Linked DNA regions of Coturnix japonica. The protein of the gene in region 2 interacts with the protein of the main gene of each other region in a pairwise test. Links are inferred from orthologs where the notes say so. Each region holds a gene or a part of one and is shown on either strand. Other genes may lie near its edges.

Evidence for each region. The genes of interacting proteins can lie anywhere in the genome.
Region 1: the proteins of WBP11 (region 2) and C2H5orf22 interact in binary tests that used the Homo sapiens proteins (3 or more experiments, as listed by UniProt). The two-hybrid records come from large-scale screens. The link is inferred for Coturnix japonica from reciprocal best matches to the Homo sapiens genes WBP11 and C5orf22.

The regions. Positions count from the first base shown.
Region 1 is NC_029517.1:60,566,416-60,570,576, forward strand, and holds the start of C2H5orf22 (UPF0489 protein C5orf22 homolog), read left to right. Parts: upstream 1-1,343; 5' UTR 1,344-1,426; coding exon 1,427-1,525; intron 1,526-2,199; coding exon 2,200-2,345; intron 2,346-3,488; coding exon 3,489-3,638; intron 3,639-4,161. Other genes in the region: DROSHA (ribonuclease 3), read right to left, coding at 1-306.
Region 2 is NC_029516.1:43,743,292-43,747,378, reverse strand, and holds the start of WBP11 (WW domain-binding protein 11), read right to left. Parts: upstream 2,890-4,087; 5' UTR 2,769-2,889; intron 1,819-2,768; 5' UTR 1,773-1,818; coding exon 1,709-1,772; intron 848-1,708; coding exon 816-847; intron 325-815; coding exon 231-324; intron 31-230; coding exon 1-30. UniProt on the Homo sapiens protein: Activates pre-mRNA splicing. May inhibit PP1 phosphatase activity.

The DNA.
Region 1 (4,161 bases), on a different chromosome or scaffold from region 2:
GAAGCTCTGCCTCATCTGATGGTTTGGAAATGGTGGCCTCATAGGACACTGGTTGATGGGATTTTGTGTTGAAGGGGGAACTGGTGGGGGATATGGAACAAAGTCTGGCCTGGGAGGCATGTAACTAGTGGCTGAAGGGTTTGAATAAGTAGCTGAAGGTGTGGCTTGCTGGTCATACTGGTACTGTACAGAGGGCTGCTGGGGGTGAAGCTGCCGCAGGTTCTGAGGACGATAAGCCTGTGCTGAAGTTCTTGCTCCTGGTCCCCCCTGCCCACGGGGACATCCTCGTCCAGAATGGAAAGACATGGTTCACTTTTAATGAGGAAAATATAGAAAATCATTGTCACAAAACTTAGTAGAAGGACCTCAGTATATTTGCAAAAAACAATTCCTGAAATACTGAAATTAGTTTCTGTCATTTCCTTTAATAGGAGCAGTGGAAGATGGCAGTCTTTCAGTGGGAGCTGTGCACTTCTCAGAGCTCTAATACAGATCATTACAGCCCTTTGATTTCTTTAAGTCTTTAATCCACTATAGTAGTTTACCAGTAGTCTTTAAACCAGCACTGCAACTGGACCATGCTCTCTGATTTAGGACAGTTAATTTTAACAGGTGACTGCAAGGACAGGCTATAGTTGCAAGTAGCTCCACTAATATGTACTAGATACGTCAATATAAAGCCTTCAGATACCCTATATCACCAGTCAGCATTGCCTCTCCAGCACCCTCACTTCTAGAAAGGCTCTAAAGAAAACCCACAGCTCATAGAATGGCCTGGGTTTAAAAGGGCCACAATGATCATCTCGTTTCAACCCCCTGCTATGTGCAGGGTCACCAACCACCAGACCAGGCTGCCCAGAGCCACATCCAACTTAACCCTGGATGCCTCCAGGGATGGGGCATCCACAGCCTCCCTGGGCAACCTGTTCCAGTGCATCACCACCCTCTGCGTGAAAAAATTCCTCTTAATATCTAACCTAAACCTCCCCTGTCTCAGTTTAGCAGCATTCCCCCTTGTCCTATCGCGATCCACCCTCGTAAACAGCCGTTCCCTCACCTGTTTGTACAATCCCTTCAAACATTGGAAAGCCACAGTGAGGTCCCCCCGGACCGCCAGAAAGACATTTCGGTTCTAGTACTTCCTAATAGCCAGAATAACAGCTATATCCCCTTTCCTCCTACCACACAGAGCACCAAATCGCAACCGCTTCCTCCCCCAGGCTCACAGACAGCAGAGCATCCCAGCACCAAAACACCCGATCTCAGAGCACACATCCCGCTCTCCGAGCCCACCGCCCTCACTCAGACCCCCGGCACACAACCCATCCCACCTACCGCCACACGGCGACATCCAACCCACCCGCTGCTCCGGAAGAGGAAAGCGTGGGGCGGGCACTCTGCTGCAGGAAGCGCCGCCTCGTCCGGCATGAGCGGCGCGGAGGCGGCCTGCGGGTCCCGGCCTCGCGGGGGCGGGTTGAGGACATACCCGGCGCTGCCGGTGTGGGTGGTGGAGGACCATCAAGATGTGAGTGGCGGCGTTAGGCGGAACACAGGGCTTGCGGGGGGGAGGTGGTGGCTGTGCAGTCAGCTCGCAAGTAGATCCAGTCAAGTCATGTGGGCATCAGGAGTTAAACCCCTTCTTTGTAGGTGGATGGGTTAAATTATCTGTTATTCAATGTTCTTCACTCAGAGGACAGTGAGGCCCTGGCACAGCTGCTCAGAGAAGCTGTGGTGCCCCATCACTGGAGGTGCTTAAGGCCAAGCTAGATGGGGCCCTGGGCAGCCTGAGCTGGTGATGGCAGCCCTGACCATAGGATGGAGCTGGGTGGGCTTTGAGGTCCCTTCCAGGCCAACCCATTCTATGATTCTGTGATAAAACCCAACAACAGCAAGTCCCTAGCCATGGAGCTGAATGATAGGTGAGAAGAGTTGCTGCAATCACAGTGCCTTGTAAAGAAGGAAAGGAAGTAGAAGTATAATCTGGCACCTTCACATGCGTAGAGCTCCAGGGCTCAGTGATTGTGCCTCATGAACTAAAATTGCTGCCCTTCTTTACTGTTTTCTGTCTCCTCCTTCCTCTTCCAACATACAACCCAAATTCTAATGGAGCTTGAGTGGGACTGGTGTTTCTGCTGCTATACCAATTGCGTTTGTGATTTCACTGCTTACAGTGGAAATGTTTTGCTTGTGCTCTTTTAGGTGCTGCCTTTCATCTACCGTGCCATTGGTTCAAAGCATCTGCCTGCAAGTAACATCAGCTTTGTTCACCTTGATTCCCATCCAGACCTCCTTATCCCTGTGAATATGCCTGCAGATACTGTGTTTGATAAAGAAGCACTTTTTAAGTAAGCCTTATGTACTGCATCAGGATAAAGTGTCCACTTCTTGCAGTGTTTGGTTTATATCAAATATTGATACGACTGTGTATGAAATATGAGCAACAGATGCATAAATCAGACTCATGTTGTATTTTCTTTAATTTTTTTATGAAACTTAATAGCTTTGGATAGAAGAAGTAGCTATGTTTCTTTTATGAATGTGGTCAAATGATTATGTTACATATTAAGAAGATGTAAGACTTAGGAATTCACTTCTAGTTCACATTATCAGACTGGGGAGTTCCTCTGAGTGACAGGACAGTACTCCAGATGGGTGCTTTTCAGTGAGCTGGAGATTTTAAAACGGCTTTTCTGTTAATGGTGACAAATTGACTGAGATTAAAATAACATCTCTTATGCTGACATGGTGCATCTGTGAAGTTGAGTGTGATAATTAAGACCAATGTTTATCCCTGTCTTCTTAGGTAGGCAAGAAGACACAGGGTGATCTGTTTTTGTCTATTATTTCTTGTCTTAAAATAAGTATTGATTGTTCCTGTGTTACACTGGTACAGAGCAGTGACAAGAGAAGATAATTGATATATTAACAATTGTGTCACCCTGCCCATGGTCCATATTTAGTTTTCTTTGCTGGATGAATGAAAAGCCTTGTAGGCTGCATCGTATACATGAAGAAATAGGATAATAAGTACAGATGCTACTCTGTTGGTGCTGATTGACTCACATTCACTACTGAAGTTATATATTAAGCCTACTTAGAGAAGCGTACAATAACTTGAGGTCAATTATGTAGAATGGAGTTCATGATGCACCTTGTACTTCTACTCTGTCACATATGTTCAGAGAAAAAGACAAGAAGTCCATGTAGTTAATAAAGTACTGTACTAAGAGTAAAGCTGACTGCACTTCATAATCCTATTGATTATTATTTTTTTTTTTAAATTTTATTACAGACATTTTTGGTTCTTACAAATCAGGAATTCAGTCCCTTTTCTTTGCTTTGGTGATATGATCTGTACACAGAGTAATAACTTCAGATTATTTGCATAGGGGGCTTTCAAGTTATGGAGGGTGTTTTTGCTGTTCTTGACAATGTTTTACATGCTGGTAAAGTAAGTGTTATTACCAGTCTTTCTCTCATCATTACAGTGAGCTGAGTATTGAAAACTGGATTATGCCTGCTGTTTATGCTGGCCATATTTCTCAAGTAGTGTGGCTTCACCCACCATGGGCCCAGCAGATCTCAGAGGGAAAACACAATTTTTTTGTTGGGAAAGACATGTCAACAACTACAATCAGGTAAATTCTTTGCTATCCTCTGATAGTAACATAAAAGCTATTTGCCATATATTTTGTATTCTTGAATAAATATAGTGATACATCTTTTCTCAATGAAAATTCAGTTTGTATTTGTGAATGTTTTGGGGTGTCATGACTGTTTTAAGAAGTACAGTTTAAGTAGAGTCTTAGCCTCTCTTTTTTTTTTTTTTAATAGATAATTCAAGTTATTCACATTTCATTGCATTCAACCAAGTTTTCAATTAGTTCTCTTTGATAAAATGAAAATCTTTGGGGAAAAAAAAAAAATGTTTTTTAGAGGATTGGGGTAACAGAGCAGAACTTAGATCCTCCTCAGATGTCCCTTATCAAAATGAAACAAGCCCACCTGCTCAACGTCTCCTTGTCAGATGCTCCGTCTAGCTCTTTAACCTCCTTAGCCAATGTACAGTGAAAATAATGAAAAGATGGTAGATGTAAATACCCAAAAGGTTATTTACAGTAAAAACTCACCCATATGGAAGCCTTTGGTCTGCTGGAAACC
Region 2 (4,087 bases):
TAAGCTGTGGCTGCTGCACTGGGTTAAACTCTAATCGAAGACAGCAAAAGCAAGCCAAAAACTCAAAAGTTACTCTACTTTACAATTAAAATTAACGAAACAACTTCAAACCAAACCACTTGCAGTTCGTATTTCCAGTAAGTCTGCAATGTTAAGACCAAAAGTCACTAATATAATCATTACTCAGTGTTTGACTACTATCTCCAACACCCAATACCTCCCTTACTCACCCATCTCATCCAATTTTTCCATGTCCCGGATGATCTGCTTTGGGTCTTTCATCTTCAGTACAGCCGCTCGTACCATCATTCGTTGCTTTTTGTTCTAAGAGGATCAAAAATCAAGGAGATCAGAAAAGAGACACAGGAGAAAGAAAAATCTTTGTATCAAATAATTCTTTTTCAACACTCCCAATCTACAGGGGGGAAAAAAAGACATCTCCAGATGCCTTGCAGATATTAACCACAGCACAAATCAGCAGCAGAGATGTTTTGAACTTCTAGGAGCTGCAATTCCACTATCTCACTATTTACAGATGCTTCTATAACTCATACATTCCAATGAAGACACAATCAGTAAAATAAGCCAAAAGGCAAAAGCAACACAATGAATCACACCAACAAATACATAAAGGTCGTTTTGATTCAAATCCAGATTTCTGTGTTTTCTTAACTGCTTGGACAGTATATCCCTAACTAAATTTTACAAGATCAACTGAAACAGTAGTCTATTCACCACTCATGGTCTTTTATAATCACAAATATAACACATAGCACAGGAAATGCCAAGTAAATGCTCCAGATCTCTTTATGTACCTTTTTTAGTTCCCTTTTCCGAGCTTCCTTTCCTAGAGAGAGGGAAGAAAAAAGAAGAGAAAAAAAAAAACAATTTGAAAGAGCGGATCAAACTCACAAACAACTTTTCCTCCATTTTAACAAGTGCTATTTTTTAACAGCTCATTCATTTTTCATATTTCATTAAACAAAAGGAAACTTTAAAACTTATCTTCCTGTTGATAGACAAATACAGCATGAAATAGAAATCTGTTTCATAGGTGTTATATAGAAAGAAAATGCAATACAGAAGTATTTAGGCCTCTAGAAACAGCGATGTTTTTATACAGAAAAGAACAATAGACAAAAAAAGGCACAGTGATGCATGCAATGTAAAAGACTGCCGCTGAGATATAGTGCCAACAAGAAACAATGCCCTTTAAAAATATGCAGGTTTTGAATACACATCTGAAACAAAGCACGCTCACAGCAGAAGCCTGGGCTTTCTGTTTCTGTGTAGCACTGAAAATGCAGTACATTACAAAAAGGAAAACAAGGTCAGACAACTCCCTCCAGTAACCTGAGCCTTGGCAAAATGTGACCATTCCACAAATTCTAGCCTCAGATAGATTACCTACACCTCAAGAAGCAGGACAGCCAACAGTTAAGTATAGAAACTTAACTGTTTCTATAGTTAGAAATTGCCAGTGACAATTAGAGTAAGAATTAAGGGACAAACAGTGTGAAGCAGCAATGGTATGCAAACCAGTAGCTTCTTGGCAAGTTTCTACACCAGCCAAAATGGAGACAGTACTTTTTGGGTTTGGGAAAGTCAGTTCTCAGTCAGAAGTGATGATCTTCCCCTCAGAGGAAGATTTTTATCTGCTTGCCTGGGACTCCCCATTTCCTTTTGCTTAACTTCTATGGGTACTTACGAGCTTGGTCTGTGGGATTCATGAATTTCCCACTCTTGGTGGATGATGTAGATCTCCGCCCCATTTTGACTTTTTTTCTTCTGCTTCAAAATAAAAGAACTGAAAAAGACCTGGAAAAGATAACCATAATTTCAGGTTCTATACATAAGCAGGACTCGTGTGCTTGTTCATCCTCTTTGTAGTAGTAGGTTGACAAACAATCGAACAAAAGAAAACCTCAAATACAGGATTGGAGGATCTCAGAATACAAGTTTGGGCATTCACATCAAAACCATCTTATTTTTACTAAGTATCACTTATAAAGCAGTTGCAAGTAAGCAGTTGAAGTGCATACTTTAAACAAATCAGCTTGTTCTTCACCTCAAGACTTAAACCTGAAAGCTTCTTGCTTTTAGAAAAATAAAATGCGTTATTTTAACTGTTATCGTATCCCTCCATAACATAAGCATGGAAGAGCCTTTCTAGCTTTCCACTTAATGACATAAAACATCTCTATTGCAAATGTTTCCCGTAAATATCCTTCTTTGCCCAGACTTCTAGGATGCCCTTGACTTCTTCCCTACCAACCACCAACTACCCCATCCATCAAAAACCACTCTGTACACATTCTTTTTCTCATCACACACCACTGCCCTTATGCCATCTCAATCTGTTTCAAGCCACATCACAATGATCAGTAAGGAAAGACTATTCTAATGAAGGGTTCTTTCCTGCCTTCGGGCATTTCTTTAACTTACAGCCAACTGCAGAAATACAATCAGAGGCACTGCCTTTCTCAAAGAGAATAACGTTCTCAAACCTCGATCCCAAATTCTTTTAGGGTAAAAAGGAGGGTCCACACAAGATAATCGCTGTAGGAGGAGGAGAAAATCAAGCACCCCAACGAGTGCTTTGTGAGCACTGGGAAGCGAGGCAGAAAGTCTCCCATCGAAGTACACGAAGGCCTCCCCTCCTCCCTCGAGGGATGCTGGGGGAAAGGAAGAAGGCGGCCGCGCCAACCGCCTTCCACCCCCCGCTTTCTTTCCCTTCCCCCAGCCCAGCCCCATCCCTTTCCTCTCACCACTCGGCCCGGTGGGGCAAGGCGGGGCGGGGGTGGCTCAGCTCCCTCCCACCGCCGCCGCGGCCTCTACCACCACCGCGCTGCCCGCCGCTGCCGCGCCGCCATCTTGAACCGGGACGGAGTAGCGCGCCGCTGTAAAGCACGAGCGCCGTAAAGCACGATTGTCGTAAAGCACGAGTGCGGCCCAGTGCCTCTCAGAGCAGCTTTGAGATCTATGATCCCGTTGCCGTTCTGGTACGCGCGGAGGCTGCCGGGATGGCGGCGGATTGTGGGGATTGGGAAATAAAGCCTTGAAAAATCTGCATTGTTGTGAGACTTTTTCACTGTTTAATGGACTCTGAGAGAAATAAATGGATTTAATTTAAATCCTATGGTAGAAAGAAGCAGGGTAAAGATGATTTTGCTGACAGCTTCAGCAGCCAAATGAGGCCATTGGTTGCTTAGCAATGGAGTTCTGCTTATTTTGGAGCATGTGTATTATACAGATTTAATTCTTCATTCTGTGCCCACACGTTGAGCAGGGAGGGAATACATGAGTGGTGTGATGGGAGCACCTCCACCGTGTGCATCAAACACATGCCGTGCCTGCTCCTCACACAGGTTGGGTCCCTCCCTGTGGCGACAGGACCCGAGGGAATGGCCACAAGTTGTATCAGATGAGGTTTAGACTGGACATAAGAAGGAATTTTTTCTCTCAGAGAGTGGTCAGGCACTGGAATGGCTGCCCAGGGAGGTGGTGGAGTCGCCATCTCTGGCAGCGTTCAAGAGGCATCTGAACAGGGAGAGCTAGGAGATATGGTTTCATGGTTTTCTGTAGGTATGGTAAAGGGAGGACGGTTGGACTAGATGATCTTATAGGTCCTTTCCAACCTTGTGATTCTATGAATACTGGGCTCAGGGCAATGCGTTACCATGGTGGCCACAACTGCTTTCTCTCATGAACATCTACTGACTATTAGAAAAGTCTAATAACAACTGTCAGTGAAATCAGCAAGTCCCACGGATATTTTTTCTTCATGGAGTTGTGGAAAGGAAGGCGTTGGGTTATTTTAACCTCAGAACTGCCTCGTGGGGCTGGGAGGTGCTATGCACCACTATGAGGTCAGCTCCCTGGGGTTCTGACCAGGCTTCTGTGGGCTCACAGCCTTCTCTGCCCCTTAAGCTGTAGGAAAGGCTCCGGCCTGCTGGGCTCCAGCAACTTCAGCATCTTATGGACATGAGGACATCTCAGGCACCTGGTTTTGCATGGAAGACATCCTTCCACTAGGCCCAGCAGGACCAAGAATCAATCAAAAGGTGAATAGAAACTGTATTTTTAG